Linked DNA regions of Tamandua tetradactyla. The protein of the gene in region 1 interacts with the protein of each later gene in a pairwise test. Links are inferred from orthologs where the notes say so. Each region holds a gene or a part of one and is shown on either strand. Other genes may lie near its edges.

Region 1 (11,872 bases):
AGCAACCCCATTCATGTCCTTTTGGTCCCCTCCCCATAGGGCAATAACCTAGAGCTCTCCCTCTGCCTCCCATCCAGGCGAGACATGGCTCCTTTTGGGGTACAGGTCTCCATTGTGGAACCTGGCTTCTTCCAAACTCCTGTGACCAACTTGGAGACTTTGGAGGATGCCCTGCAGACCCGCTGGGCACGGCTACCTCCTGCAACACGGGCCTGCTATGGAGAGGCCTTCCTCACCACGTGTGAGTAGCTGGGCTCTTAAAGGGGCATATAAAGGGAAATCGGGATGCCACAAGACAGCACCAACCCTTGTGGAGCCTGCCCACTCCCCTAGCTTGGGAAAGAGATTGAGGCTCTCTCTCACCCCCTGCTGAATAAGCCCCAGGACCTGGAAGATAGGGTCTGAGGTGAGCTGGACTGGAAGAGGGTCACTGATGTCAACCACCCCACTGGGCTGCAGACTTGAAAGTACAAGCGCGCATCATGAACCTAATCTGTGACCCGGACCTGACCAAGGTGAGCAGGTGCTTGGAACATGCCCTAACTGCTCGTCACCCCCGAACCCGCTACAGCCCAGGCTGGGATGCTAAGGTCCTCTGGCTGCCGGCTTCCTACCTGCCAGCCAGCCTGGTGGATGCTGTGCTCGCCTGGGTCCTTCCCAAGCCTGCCCAGGCAGTCTCCTGAATGTGGCCTTCCTGCAAGAGATTGTTCTTCAAGGGAAAGGACTAAGTCTGATCCCCATCCTGGTACTGCCTGGTGCCTGACACAAAGCAGATACTCAATAAATGTGTATTGTTAAAAAATAAATTATTAATAACATAGGTGGGTAGAAATGAGGGTACCCAGTGGGAGACTATCCCCATTTAAGTGTTAATTAACCTAGGCTGACTATTGCCCAGGGTCTCTGGCCTGGGTGGTGGTGGGCGGTGACAAGGAGACAGTGTCCTATCTATAAGTAATCTCCTTTAAAGCTTGCCTGGAGGAATGGCCACAAGAGGGCACTTCATACAGTTTCCTTGATTTCCTAGTTAGAGTAAAGTAGCAATTCAGTGTTTGGAGTGGGAATGGCCTTTCTCTCTTTTTCTCCAGGGCTGGGGGAAAGGAGGGGGTTGAGGAGAGAGAGTTAAGGGGTGTCAGAGCCAGGATAAGAGCCAGAACCTAAGTTCTCCCGTGACCCCAATCTAATGGACACAAGACAGCTTATTGCCACTGTGAAAAAAGTTGGGTCCCCTTGAGGACTGGTAGGGTTGGGGACTGTTGGGCCCTTAGAGGTAGGTAGAAGCCAGAGAGATGTCCAACGTGGATGTGGGCTGGGCTTTCCAAAGTAGGACCTTTTTGGAGAATCCTTTTGATTTATGTAAGAGATGACTTCAGAAATGTTTCAGCAGGAGCCTGGTCACCAGCCTAGGTGGACAGGGGAGGACACTGGACCACATTCTCCCCAGATTTCCCCTTCCACTTGCCAGCTGATCCATTGTCTTCAGCAAACATTCTCTTTCCCCAAATACCCCCCAAAATAGGCCTGCCTTTCCCTAGAGGTGTGAAGAGAACAGTCCCCAAGGACAAAGAACTTGGATAAGGAGAGGGAAGGGACAAAATATCATTCTTTAAGACATACTGAGACTGTCTCTTTTTGGTCTGAAAAAATAATCCGTTTAATTGAAAAACCTGGTGTTTACTATTCCACTCCCCTAAATGAGGGGGCTGAGACCAGACCCCCTACATCACCTCATAGCCCCTTCTGATACTCTTCACAAGGTAGCAGGCAAGGACAATTCCCAGGACCTGGAAGAAAAGATGAAGAGGTGACATGGAAGAGTGTTGGTGAGGAGCCAGAAGGGCAGTGAACCCCCCAAAAATTCAAGGGATGCCAAACCCACCCAGGACTCCCTGCCCCAGGCCAGTAACTCCTCCTTGGCACCCTCCTCCCCACTGCTGCTGCTCCTCAGAGGCCACTGAGTCCCAGCCCCTGCTCAGAGTACCTCTCACCTCCACAAAGGCAATGCCCAAGGCTGCTGCAGCCACCAACAACACATTGCTCCTCAGCCAGTTCCCGATAAGCTGCACACAGCCCTGAGGGATGGGAAGTGCACAAGGAAAACCTTATAAGACACTTTCCACCCACCTCCCCTGGGCCATCTCTTTCCACCCCTAGCATACCTGAACCCCTTCCCATCCCTGACATTGAACTTCCCAGAGCCCAAACCCTCTCCACCTCCAATCCTTTGTCTCCCTTGCCTCTTGAAATACTTCCCAGGTTTCCTAAGTCCCTTACTATCTCAGCCACTTCCTTACCTTGGTATAGATATTTTCTGGCTTGAAATTAATCCCACAGTTATGAGTGACATTGATGCAGCAGGAGTCAGGGACTCTGCCCATGGGTTGCAGAGGGATGGCATTCCAGTCTGAATAATTAGTCGCCCCACAGCACTCAAACTGGAAGAAGGGAGAGATAGGAGTGAGACAGTTATCAAGTGAACCTCCACTTTCAGTGTGGAGATGAGATTCCTCTTCTCCCACTACCCCTTTTCCTAGGAACTCCACTCACCTTTTTCTGCATACGGTCCAGGAATGAAGCAGTTTGGTTGTTTTTTGGATAATCCTGCATGTACTCCTGGAAGTCCTTGCTAAACTTTGACATCACCTAGAAGTGGGGAGGAGAGCTGCCGAGGTCAGAAATCAGAGGATCTGAGTCCCAGAGCAGCCACACCTCTGAAACAGGGCCCTCCCCTTATTCCTCACTTACCTTTTCTCTAAACACATAGCCAGCAATGGCTGCAGCCACCTCCACCAGCATGATAAGAGACAGGAAGATGGCAAACTACAGATACAAGGAATAGAAGCTAGATTTGGAGTCTATGGGTGAGAGGGTCTGCTCTAGCCCAGCCACTCCCTGAAACATTTGCAAAGAGGTCTTCCATCTCATGCACCCTTTTCCATCCCCACCACAGAAATGCCCTTCCTTGGGCCCAAGCACCCATGCTGGCCCCACTTTACTCACCGTGATCACAAGACAGTAGTTCTCCTTGCAGACCCCACAGCAGCCCATAAAGGCCACGAAGAAGAGGAAGACACCTAGGGCAATGATGACCATGGACAGCAGGAAGCCAGTAGTGTTTCCCTGAGTAATGATCTGCCTCAGGACAATCTGGGCTCCCACACCCACAGCAATCAGCCCTACTGCACAGGCCTGGGAGAAGAGCAGTCAGCGTTAGGCCAGACCCACATCCCAGTAGCCCTCCTATGGTGGGTACCATGGAGGAAAAAGACTTGATCCCACCCTGGAAAGGGAGATTCTCACACCTCCACTGAAACTTTTGACTGTGTGGGAGAGGGTGGCCCATCCTTGCCCCATGGTGAAGTCTAAGGAGTTTATTCAAAGCACTCAGGGAGAAGGGAGTTGGGAGTCACGCTTTCCTTCAGGCTGCTCTTTAACCACCGGAATTTGCATAAAGCAAAAGTGGAAGTTCTCAGAAAGCCATGACCCCAGGGCAGACTCCTGACCAAGAGTGGGTGTTTCCGATGAGAATTCAGGCTCAGACCTCTCCCAGAACCGCCCCTCTCCATTGCCTACCCCACACCCATTAGCTGTGGCCATGGTTCCTTCCTAGGCCAGGGAAGGGAAGAGGGGAACAAAAGGGGTCAAGAGTGGTCTGCCCCTCCTTGGACAGTAGCCTCACAAGCCAAGAGCCCAGGGCAGGAGTAAGATGAGATGAGCAGAGCCCTCCCCTGTCCCCAAGCAGCTGAGAAGGGTGAAGGAGGATAAGAGGATGGGGAGGAATGAAGGGTGAAAGGGAAGAAAGGGTGGAGGAGGATGGGAAGCTGAAGGAAGCCCCGTGGCGATAACATCAGGCCGTTGGCTGGTTACCCCACTGCCCTATATCACAAGTGGTTGGGTCACAGGCAGGAAGAGCCAGGAGGGGTTAGGGCTAAGATGTTAAGCACCCAGCTGGCTATTCTCGGTCCAAACACGCCTCAGGGATCCCCACAGTTGTGAGGGAGGGGGCGCTGAGCTGTCTTTGGCCCGGGGCTTGCCACATCTGGTCTCCAGCTGCCTCCATTCTACCTCCCTCGGCCCTCCCCACTCTGGAGCCAGGTTTCCCCGCACCCTGTTATCGCCGCACCACCACCACCACCACCTCCCCGCCCCTCCTCTCCACTCACGCAAAAAGCCACCAGAAGAACGTAGAGCAAGAACTTGACACATTTCATTCCTCCGTCCACCGCCATGGCTGCGAGGACAGACGGGAGGGCTGGGGGATTAGAACCCGCCGACGCGGGGGCGCGGTTTCCGGGCTCTCGGCCCGCCCTGGAGGCCTTCCCTGCCGGGCCTCCATTCCCGGCCCCGCCCACCCGGAAACCAGCGGTCAGATCCACGTCTCCCAGGCCCCTCTCCCCCCACTTACAAAAGGGCTGGGGACTACGGCCGCAAAGCCGGGACCCCAGCCCGCCGCTTCCCGGGGGCTCAGGCCTGACGCCGACTCTCTGCCCACCCCTTCCCCGCCAACCAGCCTCCAAAATGATCCCCAGCCCAAGACTGCCTCCCAGGCCACTTTCCCCGGTGTTCTAACCTCACCATCCACCCCACCCCCAAAAAGAACAAAAAGTTCGGCCAGCACCCTCCCTCCCGCCTCGCCCGGACTCTGGAACTTGAAAGCAAAGTTGCTCGAGGGCAACGGAAGCGGCCGGACTGCGCCGGACAGACGTTCGGCGGCTCGCGGCGCGCCCCGGGAGGAAGGAGCCGCCCCGCGGGCTCCCCCGCCCCGCTCCGAAGCCTTCCGTGGGCCCCGCGGCCTCACCTGGGCTCCCCGAGGCTCTGCGCTCCTCTCTCGCCGCGGCTGAGGGGCTCTCGAGCAGCTCTTGAGCGGCTCGCCCGGCCCCGCCCGCGCCGCGGCCCCGCCCCGGACTCCAGCCGCAGCCCTTTCCCCGCCTCCGCCTCGCCCGGGGGGCCGCCAGCCTCCCTCATGTGACGCGGGAACAGCCGCGGCCTGAGTCACCCGGGCCTGCAAAAGGAGGGCCGAGCCCCCAGCCCTCTCAGGGCCACGTACCCCCACCCACAAAACGGCGTCCAGCTCTGCAAAGGGTCGGCATCAAGGGCAGGACCTCAGGGCTCTGGGACCCTCTGGCACCCTCAACCCCGTGCCAGCCCGAGTTGGAGCGCGGGACCAAACGCCTCCTGGTTTTCTGTGGTTCCGAGAAGCGGGGAAGGAGGTGGGTGAGAGCCCAAGGAGGGATGGGCGACCCGGTTACCCTCTGAGCATCCAAGCGGCAGAGCTTCTAACCACTATCTGTAGTTGTTTCAACTTGTTATTGTAATGGTTATTTTAGCATGGTTCCACTCCTTTACATACTATAGTTTACACTTGTTATTGTAATGGTTACTTCCCACTCCTTTACATGGTGCTGTAGTTTGTGCTCGTTAATCGTAATGGTTACTTACTTAATTCAGTTACTTTTCATTGTAATGGTAGCAACTCCATCTCCCATTGCTTGAATCCATAAAAACCCTAAACAGATTTGAGGTTTTTCTTACTCCTGTCTCCTTTCTTGGTGGCGGTGAAATAAGGCCCTTTCTCTCTCTGAAGCACGGATGTCACTACATTTATTTCAGTGCGAATCTGACAGTGAACTTGCCGTTTTCTGCCTCAAGCTCAGGCAGAGACAAGATGGATTGCGGAGGCCTCCTCATCTTTAACCCAGAGCTGGCCCCCTGCCTCTCCTCCGCCTCCAACTTCGTTCAAGTCCCCACCCATCCCCTGGTCAGCAGAAGTTTATGTGAACTGCCCAGGATCAAGTTCTGTATTTCTGTAAATACTTCCAGAAAGCCCCTGGCCTCACTTCCCTGAGAGTCTCCCTACATTCTAGAGTGGGAATGCCTGTTCCCCGTCTCTGTTAGAACAGCTTCTGTTTTCCAAGGCCCCTGGGCAGTAGGCTGAGAAGGGGCAATGCCCCACCCCCACCCCACCCAGTCAATCATGACACATCAAAGTTCCTCTGGTGGGGAGGGAGGTTGGCAAAATCTGTGCTCCTAGCATTCCTGGAGTAGCTGATTTGGGGGGAGAAATGGGGGCCCCTAAGACACCCCATCCTAGCAAGTAAAACTTATTTTATTATCCTAGAAAGCAAAACCAGGTGACGGTGGCTGGAAGGAGAGGTGGTGGGCTAAAGCTGCCTTCTCCCTTCTGTGGGGGGTTGGGGAGGGGCCCAACCCCCCACAGAAGGAGGTCCCCAGAAGGAGGAGGGGTAAACAGGCAAAGGAGTAGAGCAGCCATCAGACTCCTACTTCCCCAGCCAGAACCCCACCACTTAGGTTCTTATGGTCCTGCCTCAAGAACCACTTCCTGAGTTATGGAGTGTGTGTGTGTGTGTGTGTGTGTGTGTGTGTGTGTGTGTACCCAAAGGAGGGGGAAAAAAAACTGTAAGAGCAAAAGGAAAGAGATCTGGGCTGGGCTGAGAACAAATTTCCAGGATCACAATCCTTCTGGCAGAACACACCAAGTTGGTTTTGGACCTTACTCCCTGTTAAAATTGCAGGCAGGCTGTAGAGAATGCTGAAGAAAGAAATATTCATCAGTTTTGTTTTTTGTTTTTATTGCACTGCCATTCGATGCTGGGCATATGCCACATTCCAGGGGCAACATGAAGACGAAGACAGTAGTCCTGCCCTCGGGCAGGATCAAGCCAGTGCTGTGAAGAGGGGCAGAGGCCTCCAATGGCAGCTGGACAAACTCAGAGGGATGGACAGGTGGGGCCTCTACTGAATGAAGAAGAATAGGTTTCACAGAAGCAGTAGTGTTCTCTGAGGTGACCTTGGAAAATAAGAAGCAAGCTCCATTTCAGGGCAAAAAAAGGGGTAATCTAAAAAGTACATGGCAGGCTGGATTTGGCTGTTTAAAAGGTTCAGGGAAGGATGTAGTGAAAGATGGATGGAAAGGTGGTCTGAATGATCAAGCTTGAGAGACCAACCAAGTACAATACTTAGTCCTTGATAGAATCTTTGAACAAACCAGCTGTGAAAGGCATTTGAATATGAACTGAGAATTCAACATCAGGAAATTATTTGTGTTAGCTGTGATAATGATGTTATGTTTATGTAAAAGAATTACCTTATTCTTTAAAGATGCATACTAAAATATTGAAGGGCAAAACGTCATGTCTGTAATTTGATTGAGAGTACTTCTCAACAGGAAGCAAAAAGGAAAGTTGTCCAGGTTTTAGGACTGTTGAGGACCAGGAGGGCCACTGGGTAGCTTGACCAATGTTCTACAGGCAATGAAGAGTAGTAGAAAGTTTTAGATCCGTCGGGTGACACTATCTTGGGATTGAACACCACATCAGAATGAGGAGGAATGAATGTCAGGTGGCCTGGAGGAAAGCTAGAACATCAATGCCATGGTCCAAGGGAGACAGTGAGGGCTGGAACCAAGGAGAAGCCAGAAAAGAAAGGAGGGAAATATGACCAGCATTTCAGAGGGCGAATCAAAGGACTGGGTGACTGTTTACATGTGGAAGGAGGAGGAGACAAGTGAGAAGAGTCAGCGACGACTTGGAGCTTCTGAAACTGGATGCCCAGGGGAGGAGGAGGTGGTCACCCAAGGCAGCAGGCACCTGAAGGGCAGTGAAGGGTTACCAGGAGTTGGGTTTATGAAGCTCAGGAGAGGAATCAGACTAGAGATAAGTGATATCTGAAGCGATGAGTGGATGAGAGTCAGAGCAAGAGAAGAAGACAGAAGCAGAGTCACAGGGAACCCTTACAGTTAAGGAACACGTGGATAGGGGTTAGGAGCCTGTCAAGAGACTGCAAGGGAAAGGAACTTGCAAAACCGGACCTCTGTGCTATGCCAGAACTGGGCATCTATATCCATTAGCACATGTAATCCTGAAAACAACCCTGTTAGGTCAGTATTATTTTACCTATTTTAGACATGAGGAAACTGAGGCTAAAAGAAATGAAATAGCATATCCGGAGTCCAAGGCAGTAAAGGGCAGTGTTAGAATTTGAACCCAGATCTCTTGGGGTTCCAAAATGCTTTTCTCTTTTTCTCTAGGAGGCCAAGAGAAAAGAGAGCTTCAAGGCAAGAGGAGAGGACAGTGGCCAAAAGTCTCCAAAAGTGCAGAGAGGACAAGATGACTGAAGTGTTCATTGGATGAGGCGGCTTCTCCAGAGCAGTGTTAGGCAGGGTCTGGAGCACCTGCTATGGACCAAGGAATGAGGAGGAAATGGAGCCATCTGGATAGGCACAGGAAGAACTAAAGTAAGGGGGCCAGGAGAATGGGACCCTCCTAAAGGAACACCAGGGCAAGAAGCTGAGAGCAAACTGTGGAAGATGCAAAGCAATGACAACAACTTGGTAAAGCAAAGGGGAGAGGAAAGATGGTGCAGGGGCATAGATACACCCTCCCACCCTGCCCCCCAGCAAATATGCTTGTGGAAGGGAGGGAGCGAGAATAGCCTATTTTTATAGCCTGGTGAGTCAGCACAGAGCCCTGGGTGCCTGCTGGACTTCGGGGAAGAGGGGCTGTGAGTGAGAATGTGGCTGACCATGGGCCTGGACCTTCCTGTCACATCCTTCAGAGCCTCCCACACCTGCTTTAGGCGTCAGGCATCTAGATATGCCACCAAGCTGACCCGGTTTGCCCAGGCTGCTGCCCCTTAGGTGCCTGGCACTGGCTGGTGGTAGGTGAACTGGGATAGACACCCTTGTCCCTCCCCACAAAGCAAGGCCAGGCTGCTCTCCAGCTCCACCATGCCCCCACCTAGGGCCAGCTGCAGGGCATGGGGGCCACAAGTGACCCAAACAAAGGTGGCACCTTCTGAGAGCATGTCAGACTCAGTGACCCTAAAAAAATCTTTGAGGCACACACTCATCCCGTCTCCATTCCCCAAACACAAGCACTTTGGCTCTCTCCTCCCAACTTCTCCTAGAGGGCCTTGGGGCTAAAAAGGTTAACAAAGCTGCCTAGAGACCCAAGCAGGATAATTACAGGGTTTAAAAAGTGGTGTGCAGGGAGGATGGTAATTACACTGTGAGGTCCTCCCTGGAGGCTCCAGGGTTTGTGGGCAGAGGCCTAGGAAGGGTCCATTACACAAACCTACCTCCTCCAGCCCAGAATAGCCTCTCCACACACCCCCAGAGGCTGACGCTGGGAGGGCAGGAGAATGGACAAGCAAGCCCCATAGGGAAGCCCCACCTCCTCTGGTACATCCCAACGACCTAGCCCCCTCCCCTCCTTGGAAAGACCCGTTGTGCAAGGGAATGGGTCCACTAACATCTCCTTCCCACCCTCCACCCCCCCACCCCCCAAAATAGGACCTTTAGGAAGAAAAAGTGAAAAGGGATGAGATTAGGGCTCCTCCCCGAGGAAGAAAGAAAGTTTGCGACTCCTCACTGAGCGCAGCACTATAGCTGATGGCCAGGGCAGTTTTGGTGTGGGGAAGATGTTCTGCAAGGGGTGCAGGACAGCAAGATGGCTCCCTCCTCCTTACAGTGATTTCTCCGTTCTGTCAGTCGCAGCTCTGACAGTGGCTGGGCATCTCTGGCCTCTAGCTCTGGCGACAGGCTCCCAGGACCTGCAGCAACTCTTTCTGGGAATGTAAGGGACCCTCTCCAGGAGGCTACACAGCACCTCTCTCCTTCCTTCCCGCCCCGAAACTTTGCCCCCTTCCCCAGGACACCGCCTCCTTCCTTTCCGGGTAACTCGCACTCTTCAAATCTAAGTATCTCCCTTAGGCCCAGACGAATATTTGCTATGAACCGGTCAGGACCTTGAAAGAGGCAGGCCTGAAGGTTGCCTGGGTAACGCCCAGACCTCTGAGGGGCACCCCTGGCAAGGGGACAGTTGCCTAGGAGACCAGGACAGTAGGTGGGGCCCCAAACCCTGGTAAACCTATATTGGTATCAGGAGAGGAAAGGTCTAAATGTCCAGATCTCTCCCAACTTCTTTTCCTTAAAGCCAGCCAGGTCCCCTCCTCAAGACTGAGTCTGGACAGCTGGAAACTTGAAACCCCCAAAAGAGTGCTCCTGGGGCTGGTTCCTGCAACTCTAAGGAACCAAACAGTACCAAACCTGAGGGAACTCAAAAGGAAAGAGGCATGATGACAGAGGAGTTGGGGATAGTGATAAGGCTTAATGTATTATTATATGGAACTTATCAAACTAGAAATCCAAAGTGAAAATATGCAAAGTGTGCCCCCCCCAAATGATTTTAGTCCAACCTCCAAGGAGCTGAAATTCCATATTAGACCACCAGATGGCAGTCTTGCCCACTTATTTGAATAAAGTGTAGTTCAGAAAACTGGTGGGTAAGGAACCAGGAGGTGGAAATCATTTCTCTCAAATTGTTCCTGACTCTTTCTCCCTATAATTGGCAGACACCCATAACACCTAACGGCTACAAATATACAGTTTGCGCTCCTAAACTCAGCTTCACAAGAGTGGTGACTCTGACCAGGTCTGCTTCTTAGCAGGGTTCACTCATTCCTTATTCAGAACTGCAGAGGAGCAGTACTTCGGTAAAAAAATTGTTTCTGATCTCTTGGATCTCACAATGTAATGAGGGTAATAGGTTGGGGTGATAGTAATAACTCATTCAGTATTGTGTACCAGCAGGGATTTAATCTTCATAGCCTTATGAAATAGGTATTCTATTGTTATCCCTCAAACCTTACAGATGAGGAACTGAGCGTTAAGTAACTTGTCCAAGTTCACATAGTCAGACAAGGCGGAAAGCTGGGATTTGAATCCAGGAAGCCTAGATTTAGAGTAAAAGCTGTGTGATTAACTTCCACATCACACAGAATGGTGCAGATATATCTAGGAGGGACATCATATCGAGTCTTGGAGGTCAGGAAAGGATTCCTAGAGGACATGTCTAGAATCTCATTTATACCGAGGCCTGAAGAAAGAACAAAAATGGCCCAGAGGGGCGGGCCGCGGTGGCTCAGCGGGCAAGAGTGCTTGCCTGCCATGCCGGAGGACCTCGGTTCGATTCCCGGCCCCAGCCCATGTAAAAAACAAACAAACAAACAAAATATAATAAAACAAGAAAATGTTTAAAGATGTTTCTCTTCCTTCCTTCCTTCCATCCTTCCTTCCTTCTCTCTGTCTTTCCTTCCCTTCCTCCCTCTCTCTTAAAAAAAAAAAAAAAAAAAAAAATGGCCCAGAGATTATTGCAGGGGTGGGGAAGTGGAGGTAGAAGGGAAAGTTGTCCTTGGAAGAGGAAACAACCTGTGGAAAAGTTCAAGGACAATCAAGAGAAAGAGGATGTAATGCTACATCCAAGTTTCTGGCCTGGATGATTGAGCAACATTCACTAAAATGAAAAACTGCAGGATGGCACCACTTTTCTGGAGGAGATAAAGATTTCTCTATTTTATTTAATCTATGAAATTGGAGGTACCTTGAGACAACCTGATAGAGTTATCCAGGAGGCATCTGGCCTAGAGTTTTGGCTGGTACTGTTCACCTAATGTCTTGTCTAGATTACATGTCCCCTGAAGAAAGGGGCTGTCTCTTATTTATCTTTGCATCCCTCATAGGCTTACCACTTGATAGGCATTTGATGAGGAGGTGAAAGCTGGGGTACTTTCTCTGAGGGAGCAGGGGGAGGTGACACCACCCTACCCTCAAGGAGTTTGCAGTTTTGCTGAGGAACTGATATCAGGGAAACATTTTGGTGACAAGAACATGGTGGTACATGCGGTAAAGGCAAATGCTGCTCTGGGAGGTCAGAGAAGAAAGAAAAGAAACCTGAAGAAGGAGGAGAAGAAGCATGAAGTCCACCATTGATTGATTGCTATGCACATCTCACAGCCATTTGAGGGTAGGCATTGTGATCCCCATTTCCTAGGTGAAGAAACGAAATATTGAGAT
Region 2 (10,921 bases), on another chromosome or scaffold:
AATCTGTCTCTTTTCAGAAAAAGTTTGCCAATTCCTGCTTTAGGGTTTCCTAGGTGCTTGCCCTTTACAGAGGACTTTGTAGTATACATGGTACTTTACAGTGTACAAAGCATCTTGCCTTTTAAAAAGGACTATGTGATATATGGTATGTTTCGAGTTAAGGACACCACTGCTTTACAAAAAACTCCAGTGTTTACAAAATATTTTAACATATATAAAGCACTGCTGTTAACCAGGCAGTGTCTGATTTTCAGGGCATTTTACAGTTTACAAATTGCTTTACAATTTATCAAGGGGGCACCACTGTTTACATAGAGCTTTAGAATTTTAAAAGCACTTTGCTTCATAACAAGGGCTTCCCAGTTTACAGCGTTTATTTTTAATAGTTTTACAAATCACTTTGTAGTTCATCAAGCACTTCCATGATATATAATGTTCTTTACAGATTATAGAGTGCTTTACTCTCGATCTCCACTCTTTACAAAGTATTTATAGTTTACAAAGTGCTTTTCTGTTTGCCAAAGACCTCCCAGTTCACAGAACACTCTACAGTTTACCAAAAGCTTTGCCATTCACCAAGATGTCTTGGTTCACAAGGCACTTGATAGTTTAACAAATGTTTTGCAATTCACCAAGGACACTGAAGTTCATAGAGTGGGTTAGAATTTACTGAGTGTTTTGCCATTTGCCAGGCACAGCCTAGTTTACAAAGCACTTCACAGTTTACTAAGCAACTTGCCATTTGCTCAGAACCTTTTGAGTCACAGAGCATGCCACAGTTTACAGGGTGTTGCTGCTGTGCTCCTGCTCCTCTCTCTGAGCTCTCACTAATCCCTCTGTGCTCTTACCTCAATGATGTGATCCCTTCCATCCTTGCCATGCAGAGCTTCCACTGCGCAAATGTCCAGTCCCCCAAAGATCTCTGAGCACGTGTCCACCCATAGCTTGTACCTGCCAAGGCATGGGGCAGGGAAACCCATCAGGGCCCTGCCTGGGTGGCTGTGTTGCCACCCTCACTCTTCTGTCCCAAGCTTGAGCAGCCCACCTGTCAGACATGGCGATCTGCTCAAGCATTGCAGAGCCAGTGTTCGTCTTCCAGTTCCCCGACACTGATGTCCTCCTGGTAGATAGGGTGAGAGAGGGTCAGAGAGGTCTGGGGTGGACGGGACAGGGCAGGGGACCCCTCCCTGGGCCTCAGTTTCCCCACTCACATGTAGGCCTTGTAGTTCTGCCCAATCTTCTGGACACGCACATCATATTTGGCATCGATGAAGGGCTCAGCAGTGGCATATGTTTTGGTCAGTGCCACAACACTTGCGATGTCCTGGAAGTCATGCTGGTTATCCACCTTGACCTGTGAGAGTGGGGGTGGAGAGCAGGGCCTGGTCAGGATTGGGGAAGCAGTGGGAGTACCTCAGGAAGTGGGAATACATGACACACAGGGGAAGTGAGTGCACAAAAATGAGGTGGACACAGTATAGTAACAGACACACCAAGGTACTCAAACACGCATAATTCTAGGCCTTCTGTTTTTTACATGAACATGCAGACACAAAGATGTATACAACTCTGTGAACATGAAAAACCCAGAATTGTACAATTTAAAAGGGTGAATTGTGTGGCATATATCTCTTAAACTGTTAAAAAATTGGATGTATACACAGTATACACACATGGGCCCCAGGCAGAACATCGGTTGTACACACAACATACAAACATACAGAAGCACTCAAACATACAAATTACAAGTCCATTTTCTAGGTACACACAGAGACAAAGTCAGATGGATGGAAGCATACAAGGACCCCAAGACCCTTGAGCATAAGGATTATGGCTGTGGATGTTCAATACAAAGGCCTTCAGATATGTGTTTACACAATGCTGGATAAACTAACAAAAATTGCACAAAATTGGCCGAGTGCAGGATAGAAAATTGGGCCCACAAGAAAAACCAGCTGAATGTAGAAAACAAATATACAAATAGATAAAGCCCGGCCTCCCCCCGTGGGAACACAATCATACAGAATTACTGATATATGCTGAATACACAAATCACATCTATATATAAACATATGATGCCAGATGCATGCACTGTGTTCAAATACACATACACATGCAAACAACCTCCTGACCCTCAGGGACTCACCTTACCCATCCCAGAGTGTGCATGTCCCATCTTCACAACCACAGGGTACGTTGTACTGCTGAGCTGAGTAGGGTGAAAAGACAGAGGAGGTCCAATCAGGGTAGGAGGGCCCTGTGCCAGGGGCAAGAGTGGTGCGCAGGGGAACCCATCCAGTGGGAACAATGTAATGGGCCATTTCCCAGAAGAGGCAGGTCAGAGACAGGCAGACAGCAGCTAGGGGTCACACAGTGCCCTTCGAGTTGGGAATTGAACCCAGAGCCCTGCCTGCCTACCCCTCCTCCCACCACCCCCAAGTCTCCAGACTTCCTGCCCATGCTTTCCCAGGAAGAAGCATGGGATAAAAGTGGGGGACTTTCCGGAAAGGGAAAGTTTGTTTTCACAGTGGGTGAATGATGGGGAGGTGAGTGTGTGTGCATGTGTGTATAGGGGTGTGGTGGTGAGCATGTGGCAACTGGACCCCACAGCTAGGCCTTGCATGCAAGCCTTGTTCCCCACCCACACAGCCTAGAGCTACACACATTCAGAACTACACAACCAAAATCAGAGATGCCCACGCACATTGAGACACGAGATTGAGAGACCCACAACCAACACAGGCTCCAAAGCACACCTAACCTCTCAGGACACCCACAACAGTCATTCATCCAGCCACATGCTCAGCACGGGAAAGTGACCAGCCTTTTTGGCCTGCCTCCTTACCCAGCAACACACACGCAACACTCCTGGACTCACAATCAACACTTTGGGGTACAGACACAACACTGCCCCCCTCCTCTCGCCTAACCACATAACAATCAGAGGGACTCACACGATAACCCAGGCAACACAGAAACAATCCTCAGGGGCACAGCCAAAGGATACAAAGGCACATACAGCTCTGACAGGCACAGATACAAAATTGGACACATCTTCACTCACAGGCACACATATCACACCCTCAGGTACCTGCAAAACAAACAGAAGGACCTGCACAACAGAGGTACACACACATAATTCTAGGTGTTCACATAGCCGCTGCAATCCACACCACACTCCTGGACACTAAAAGTATATTTGGACGCACACAGCATGCCTTGCCATATACACAACACAGAGAGGCATACAAATGGTCAGGGACATCCCCAGTACTCCTAAGTACAAAGCTAGCACTCTTGGGTGTGTGCACACAACATTCCTAAAGCGCATGTGCACGCGCGCGCATTCACATACACATACTCGGGTGTGGGGGACACCTCAAGTCTCCCCAGGCCCTGGGCGGGATAGAAGGGATGGGGTTGGATGATCCCAGCCCTGCCATAGCATGTATGCTATGCAGGGTCTCTCTTCACGCCCCTCCTGCTGTGGAGACCAGTGTCTGACAGGGTAGAGAGATGCCATTCCCGGAGGGGATGCTGGGGCGGAGGCAGTTCCCAGTTCCCGACAAGCACAGGAAGCCCGCAGGCTCAGAGTGACCGACTGACCTTCAGACCTCACCCTCCCTCTGCCTCACCTCCCCCCCACTCCACGTTCCTCATTTCCCAAATGACTGACGTCATTATGGGGGGGGGGGGGTAGTGCTGAGAGGCTCAGTGTTGGGATGGGGTATTCCGGGTCCTCTAGGTAGCTTGCCAGGGAAACAATGCAGAGGCATGCACATGATGTAACCCTGAGGCATACACCCAGCACACAGAGAGGGAATCAAACTTTCACAATTACATAGACAACACAGATACAAAGGCAGAAACACAACTCCCAGAAGCAACAGAACACACAGGGATATACAAAACACTCAGGTAGGCATGTGACTCTCAGAAACAGACACATAAGTCTCAGAAGCACACACACAACTTTCTTAAGCACACATACAACTCTGAGGCACACATAATTCTTAGAAGCACATGCACAATTCTCAGAGGCACACACACACACTCTCAGAGGCACACTCAACTCTCAGAGGCACACACACAACTCTCAGAGGCACATACACAGAAGTCTGAGAAGCACACAGTGTTAGAGGCTGAAACATACCAGACGGCTACTCACACACATGCACACACCCCAAGGTTTCTAGATCCTTCTTTTCAAAAACAGCCCTTGTTTCCTCTGAACCTGAACACAAGACTGTGTATATGTGCCTTCACATGTGTGTGCATGAATGGACCTTTAGATCTGGGGTCCTCCTGGAGAGTTCTCAAATCTTGGCCTCTCTTCTTCCTAAGGCCATGTAGGATCCCAAGAAAGTCACTTAACCCCTCTCTGTGCCTCAGTTTCCTGATCTGTACAAAGGACATAGTCAAACCCAAGCTCTTGTTATGTTGTGGGGATTGTTGAGTGTTAGCTGTGCAGCCACCAGCTGGACATCAAGGGCCCCCACCCCCATCCGGCTCCTCAGATTATCCAACACCCAGACACCCTGCTACAAAACTTCACTGATTTCACAATGTGTGTGATAACCCAGACCAACACAGCCCCTCACATCTAAGTAGCAAACTGTGCTGACGTACGTTTCACAGAAACAGAACTAGGGTCAGCGAGGGGCTGCAGCAGAAATTTCCCTTCCCTCACTTCTCCCTCAGTCACGCTACTGACTTACTCAACCCCATCTCATTCACTTTTACTACCCCCAGGCACTCATCCACTTTCACAGCTAGCTTCTCCAAGGTCTTGGTTTACTGCCGCCTCTCCTGCCCTTCAAGAAAGTAATTTCTTCATTCATTTCTAGGAAGGTCACTCAGCCCCTTTGTGTCTCAGTTTCTTCATCTAACTCACTGGAATGTTGCTGAAGAATAAATTCGTTATTTCCAGTGTAGGGGAGGGGAATTTAGCCCAGTATCTGGCTGGCATAAAGAAAGTCTCAATCGTCAACCAATGTTGGACATTGTTATTATTATTAGTTTAATATCCCTTCATAACCAGCATTCTTTAACAAGGTAATCTAATTGGGATTGACTGAATGAGATAATGAACATACAAAGACTTTGAAAGGATGCTTGATACCTAGTAATCTCGAACTGTGAAGGCTAGTTGATGTCATCCTCCTTACTATTGGTCTAGGTGCCCTGAGTTAATCTAGTTTAATTAGCAAAGGGGGAATGGAGATTAAATAAAATAATTTACACAAAGACTTTAGGGCACAGTATACAGTAAGTGCTCAATAAGTGGCGGCTATTAGCACTATCATCTTCGTTATTATTGGTCTACTGTCCCTGAATTAACCAGGGATGTTAACCAGCTCTCAGGCCCCCAGAACCCCAGGGAAGATTCAGGCATTATCTGGAGGCTGGTGGGCAGTGATTGCCTCACCTCATGCCCCACCAGGGCTGTGGGAGGGTTGGTGGGGAAGGGGCAGGGCAGGATGGGGTGGGGATCAGTTTTCTACTGACTCACTGGCCTCTTTCACCACATTCTACTCTCTCCCTCCATTCCCTCCTTGCCAGGACTGTGCCCCGCCTGGGTTAAGAGCCTGGTGCTAGTGAGCTAGTTCAAATCCCAGCCATAACTTGTGACTCTGAGAAGGTTCTTCAGTCCTTTCTATGCCTCATAGTTTCTCATCTGTAAAATGGGAATACTACAAATACTATCTGAATTTTAAACGAGATAAACTAGGCTGACTGCCTGGCAAACAGTAGTTGCCATATAAATGCTGGCTATTTGCCTATGTTTTTTGAGGGTGGGTTAAGACCCAGCTCAGTGAAATCCCAATTCTCCCCCTAATGAATTCTGTGATCTTGGATAAGTCACTTAACCACTCTGTGCTTCAGTTTCTCCACCTTGTATTCCTCCAAGTCCCTTATCTCCTTCACTGCTTTGACTTGATTGGTTTCTCTCCGCCTCCCCTGCTCTTCACCAGAATGTCAGGAAAGGGTTTTCTGTGCATGTGCTTGGCACACAGTAGGTGCACAATAATAAATGCTTGTTGAAGGAATAAACTAATTAGGATTTCAGCCATCCCTGTGGCTGAGGAATGTGGAAGGGGTCTGGAAATTTGAGAGGACTTGGAGGAATCCTGCCTCTAAGCGCTCCATTGAGCCTGCTCGAAAGGACTGGTGCTCCACGTGGAAATGGGGGAGGGGGAAGGCTAGGGCCTGAGGCCCCGGGGGGAGGGAGAGGAGGAGGGTGCAGCCCCTTTTCCGCAGCCCAGCGGCCCGCCCCTTGGCCTCTGCAGTGATGGTGGGCGGATGAGTAATGCATCCAGGAAGCCTGGACGCCTGTGGTTTCCGCGCCGTTGCCACCCCCGCCCCTCGCACGGGCATTTATCCTGTACCGCTCAGACCCTGCCGCCATCTCCGCAGACCCATCGCCTAGAGAGACACCAGAGGTAGGCAAGGGGCCTGGGTGGCACTGCAGAGCCTGGGGCTGGGCGGGAGCTTAAACGGCAACCAGGTCTGTCCATTTCTGTGACCACGGTCTGGCTGTGGGCATCAGGATCCTGGGCTGGTCAAGGGAGAAAAGGGTGGAAGGAACTGATCCTCTACCCACACCCCCTCCCAAAACTCTCTCTACCCCTTATATCCATACCTGTGACCCCTTAATACCACAAACTCCTCCCAACCTACCAACTCCCCTAAATTCCTCCAGTTCCCATTTCCCAAACTTGTCAAACTTCAACCCCCTAAATCTGAAAACTTCCTCTACCCCCAAATCCCCCAAGCACTCTACCCCCTTCACCCCCCAAACTCCGTCAATTCCCTAAATCCCCAACCTCCAAATTCTTTAACCTTCCTAAACCTTAAACTTCCCTAGCCACCTATACCTCTCAAAGTCTACAGCCTCTAAATAATTCCCAACCTCCCCCAAACTCCTCCAGCCCCCAAACCCCAAATTCCTTACCTCCAAATTCTCCCAATTCCCCTAAATCCTCAAATTCCCCTAGTCCCCTTAAACTCTGCAGCCCTCTAATCCCCCAATTCACCAGAACTTCACAGCCCCCTAAACTCTCCCAACCCGCTAAACTTCTTTGAGTCCTCCACATCCCCAAGCCCCTTAAAATCCTCCAAATCCTCCTCCAGGACGTACTGGGGTAGATTGGGGTAGGAAGCCTGCCCAGGCCAGCAGATCAGTTAGGCTGGGAGCCTACTGACCTCCCCTCCCCTCCCTTCCCCTCCCCTCCCCTCCCACAGAACACATCATGGCCCCCTGCACATCCCTGGCCTCTGGTATCCTGTTGTTGCTGTGGCTGATAGTCCCCAGCAGAGCCTGCACCTGTGCCGCACTCCACCCGCAGACAGCCTTCTGCACCTCGGACCTTGGTGAGTGTGCACCCCATGCTGCCCATACACTCCATGTTTCTGTTCCCTCTTAGTCTGATTAGGTTGACAGTGGCACACCCAGCTGAAGAACAAGATTCCACCCATCCTTCCACTTACTCTGCTCTAGCCACACTGGTCTCCTCCCACTTACGTGAGTACACCAGGCTCAGTCCCACCTCAGGGCCCTTATACTGGCTGCTCCCTCTGCCTGGTACACCCTTCCCTCCGGGTATCCATATGGGTGACTGCCTCAAATGTCACCTTCTCAGGGCAGCCTTCCCTGACTGCCCTATTTAAAAATTTAGCCCCTGCTCCCTAGTACTCCTGAACAGCCCCCCTCCCCCACCTCTGGAATTCTCTACCACACTTAATACCTTCCAACATCCCATATACTTATTTATTTTGCTTGTTTCTAGTCTGTCTCCCCCCTTGGCTAGCATGTGAACTCCACAAGGGAAGGGATTTTTGTGTTTTGTTCACTGTTGTGTCCCTACCACCCAGAACAGTGCTTGGCACAGAGTGGGTGCTCCAAAATATTTGTGGGGAAAATGACAAAGGGATATATGAACAAGGCTTAGAGCAGTGCCTGGCAAAGAGTAGGCTGTCAATATTCGGATGGATCCATTAACCGGATGGATCCATTAACAAAGGCATAAAGCGCTAGTGTGCTGTTGGCCAGTCAGTAATCCCTATTTAAGAATGTGCTCTGCTAGTTTTATTATTGTGATTATTTAATTTTTATTGTCTGCGTGCCGTCCATTTGACTCCTTTCCCTTTTCTCCTGCAGTCATCCGGGCCAAGTTCGTAGGGCCCGCAGAAATCAACCAGACCTCCCTACACCAGCGTTATGAAATCAAGATGACCAAGGTATTCCTCCTACCCGTTCCCCAGCAATTCCTAACATCTACCTCCCCATCAAAATAGAAGCCTGAGGCTACAGGTCGAGGAGGAAGTTGGCTGTGATCTCAGGATGTTGTAGGACTTCAGCAGAACATGGAGCGGGAGATTATATCAGTAAAACAGAGATTTTTCCCTTCATCCATCAACAGATGTTCAAAGGGTTCGATGCCTTGGGGGATGCTCCTGATATCCGGTTCATCTACACTCCAGCCATGGAGAGCGTCTGCGGATACTTCCACCGGTCCCAGAACCGAAGCCAGGAGTTTCTCATCGCTGGTGAGGTCCCTCCCTGTGCCACGCCAACCCATAGCTCGGACGTTGCCTAGCAACCGCGGGGAGGGGGAGCGAGGTTTTCAAAGATCCCAGTTGAAACGGGGACCGCCCTAATTTCAGCCTATCAGAAGGCAGGGGCTTTCGTGCACGAGGGACGCCAATCAGGCGCCGCCCTTGCCCTGGGCCAGCCAATCAGAAGCTTCCTGTTGACTCTCTCCCTCTGCCCGTTCCAGGACGCCTGCAGGAGGGAGGCTTGTACATCACTACCTGCAGCTTCGTGGTTCCCTGGAGCAGTCTGAGCTTTGCTCAGCGCCGGGGCTTCACCAAGGCCTACTCTGCTGGCTGTGAGGAGTGCACAGTGAGTGCTTGGGCCCTGCTGTCATCCTGGAGATAGTTCCTTGGGCTCGTCCCCAAACCCTGGGATTGTTTCTTACTCCTCTGGCGACTTCTTATCCCTAAGGCTGCTCCCCAAATCCTAGGACCTTCCCTGATCTCTCGCTATTCCCCCAAACTTGAGGCTATTTCCTTGGAAATTCTGATTGTTCCCTTGCCCTGTGTCTGATACCTTGGGATTGGCTGTTCCCTGTTCTTCCCACTCTTTCTTGCGACTTTTCTCCAGTCCCTCTGTCTGTCCCAACCTTCTGGATTCCCTGGAATGTTCTCCAAGAACCCCAAGTGCTATTCCTCAAATCCACTGATTGTATTCTAGCACATCTGATTGTTGCTCTGCTCTACAACCTTGACTTTCCTGACACAAGGGACTGTTACCTTGATTTTCTGACTGTTCCAAGACTGTTCCCTCATGGCTCAGAGTTGTCCTCTGATGCCCCACTGGCTAAGTTTGCCAGCCACCTCCTGTTCCCTACTACTGTCAGTTGTTCACTATCCTTTGGACTGTTTGCCAGGAGACCTCCCTGCCTGACCCCCACCTAGTAACTGTCCTCAATCACCATTCCCAGAAAACTGGACCTTTCACTGGCTTAACATTACCCTGCAGAGATCAATGGCTGTTCCCCTCCAATGGGATGGGCTGTTCTTGAGTCTGTGCCAGGTGGGGCACAGACTCCCTGGAAACTTGATGATTAACGTTAAGGAGGGGAAAGTTCTGCCCCATGGGGATGGTAGGGGAGGGCTTCTCTGAGATGTGCCACCCTTCTCTCCTCCAGGTGTTTCCTTGTTTATCCATCCCCTGCAAGCTGGAGAGCGATACTCATTGCCTGTGGACTGACCTGTTCCTCACAAGCTCTGAGAACAGCTTCCAGAGCCGCCACCTTGCTTGCCTTCCACGGGAGGCAGGGCTGTGTACCTGGCAGTCCCTACAGCCCCGAATGGCCTGAATCCTACTCCCAGCAGAAACCTGAGCCTGCCCAGTGTTCACCCCCTTTCCAACTCCCATCTTTCTCCCCGATAATGAAATAAAAAGAACTACCACCCAGCAGGCAGTGTCCATGTGTCTTGTTCCACACAAACATATTTCACTGATGACCTGGTGGCGGCATTCTGACCAAAGTTGTGGGGGTGAGGGCTGCAAAATTAGTGTTTTTTAAAAATATTTTACATAAAGTTTGATATTTTGGTAATAATTCTCAACACTGACATTAACATTGGTGACCTACAACATGATTTTTTTAAATTAGAGAACTTGTACTTTGGCAGAAAAATCATGCTTAAATACAGAGTTCCCATATACCACCCTATTATTAACATCTTGCATTAGTGTGGAACATTTGGTACAATTCAGGAATGGTAATTTAACCTGCATTATCAACCACAGCTTACTGCATAGTTTCTCTAGACAATAGTTTAAAATGTTCTAATGTACTAATTTATAATTCCTATTTGCACAGGGCTCTCTAGTTTATACATTCTTCCCACTGCTGACAAATCACTATCTCAATAGTAAATTCCCCTAGTCACAAATGTCTCTAGATAACAAGCTCAATGACAGATGCCCTATGGATTGGCAAATAGCTCTCCTTGCCTCAAGCATTGTCCTGATGTCAAGTGAGGGTGTCCCATCTAAACCTGTGGGTGCTAATGTTTCCACCCTTAGGGTTGAATATATATATATATAAAATATATATACATATATCATTTTTTTAATTGGAGAAGTAGGTTTACAGAAAAATCACAGAAAATATAGAGTCCTACCTTAGGTCTTGTACTGTGAGTCTGATTTGAGTGAAAGGGGGAACCTCCAGAGAACAAGAGCCCGCAACATAACCTTGCTGAGGAATTTGGAAGAAAGTAACTCTGCCACCCACGACCACCCGTGGCCTGTAGGAGATTCCTTGAAAGTGGTATGGGAATAGGAGGGATGGGATGGGGTGAGGTTGTGTTCTCACAATCCCCAACCTCTGCCCTGCTTTTTCCG

What was found.
Region 2: the proteins of CD63 (region 1) and TIMP1 interact in binary tests that used the Homo sapiens proteins (3 or more experiments, as listed by UniProt). The link is inferred for Tamandua tetradactyla from reciprocal best matches to the Homo sapiens genes CD63 and TIMP1.

The regions. Positions count from the first base shown.
Region 1 is NC_135333.1:122,725,152-122,737,023, forward strand, and holds CD63 (CD63 antigen), read right to left. Parts: upstream 4,914-11,872; 5' UTR 4,799-4,913; intron 4,232-4,798; 5' UTR 4,230-4,231; coding exon 4,164-4,229; intron 3,190-4,163; coding exon 3,001-3,189; intron 2,821-3,000; coding exon 2,746-2,820; intron 2,644-2,745; coding exon 2,548-2,643; intron 2,436-2,547; coding exon 2,295-2,435; intron 2,073-2,294; coding exon 1,989-2,072; intron 1,843-1,988; exon of another isoform or gene 1,785-1,842; coding exon 1,719-1,784; 3' UTR 1,630-1,718; downstream 1-1,629. Other genes in the region: RDH5 (retinol dehydrogenase 5), read left to right, coding at 78-241, 460-683. UniProt on the Homo sapiens protein: Functions as a cell surface receptor for TIMP1 and plays a role in the activation of cellular signaling cascades. Plays a role in the activation of ITGB1 and integrin signaling, leading to the activation of AKT, FAK/PTK2 and MAP kinases.
Region 2 is NC_135353.1:122,542,730-122,553,650, reverse strand, and holds TIMP1 (metalloproteinase inhibitor 1), read left to right. Parts: upstream 1-6,290; 5' UTR 6,291-6,443; intron 6,444-7,245; 5' UTR 7,246-7,253; coding exon 7,254-7,374; intron 7,375-8,161; coding exon 8,162-8,241; intron 8,242-8,423; coding exon 8,424-8,550; intron 8,551-8,780; coding exon 8,781-8,905; intron 8,906-9,713; coding exon 9,714-9,884; 3' UTR 9,885-9,982; downstream 9,983-10,921. Other genes in the region: SYN1 (synapsin-1), read right to left, coding at 849-951, 1,046-1,120, 1,212-1,354, 2,147-2,209. UniProt on the Homo sapiens protein: Metalloproteinase inhibitor that functions by forming one to one complexes with target metalloproteinases, such as collagenases, and irreversibly inactivates them by binding to their catalytic zinc cofactor.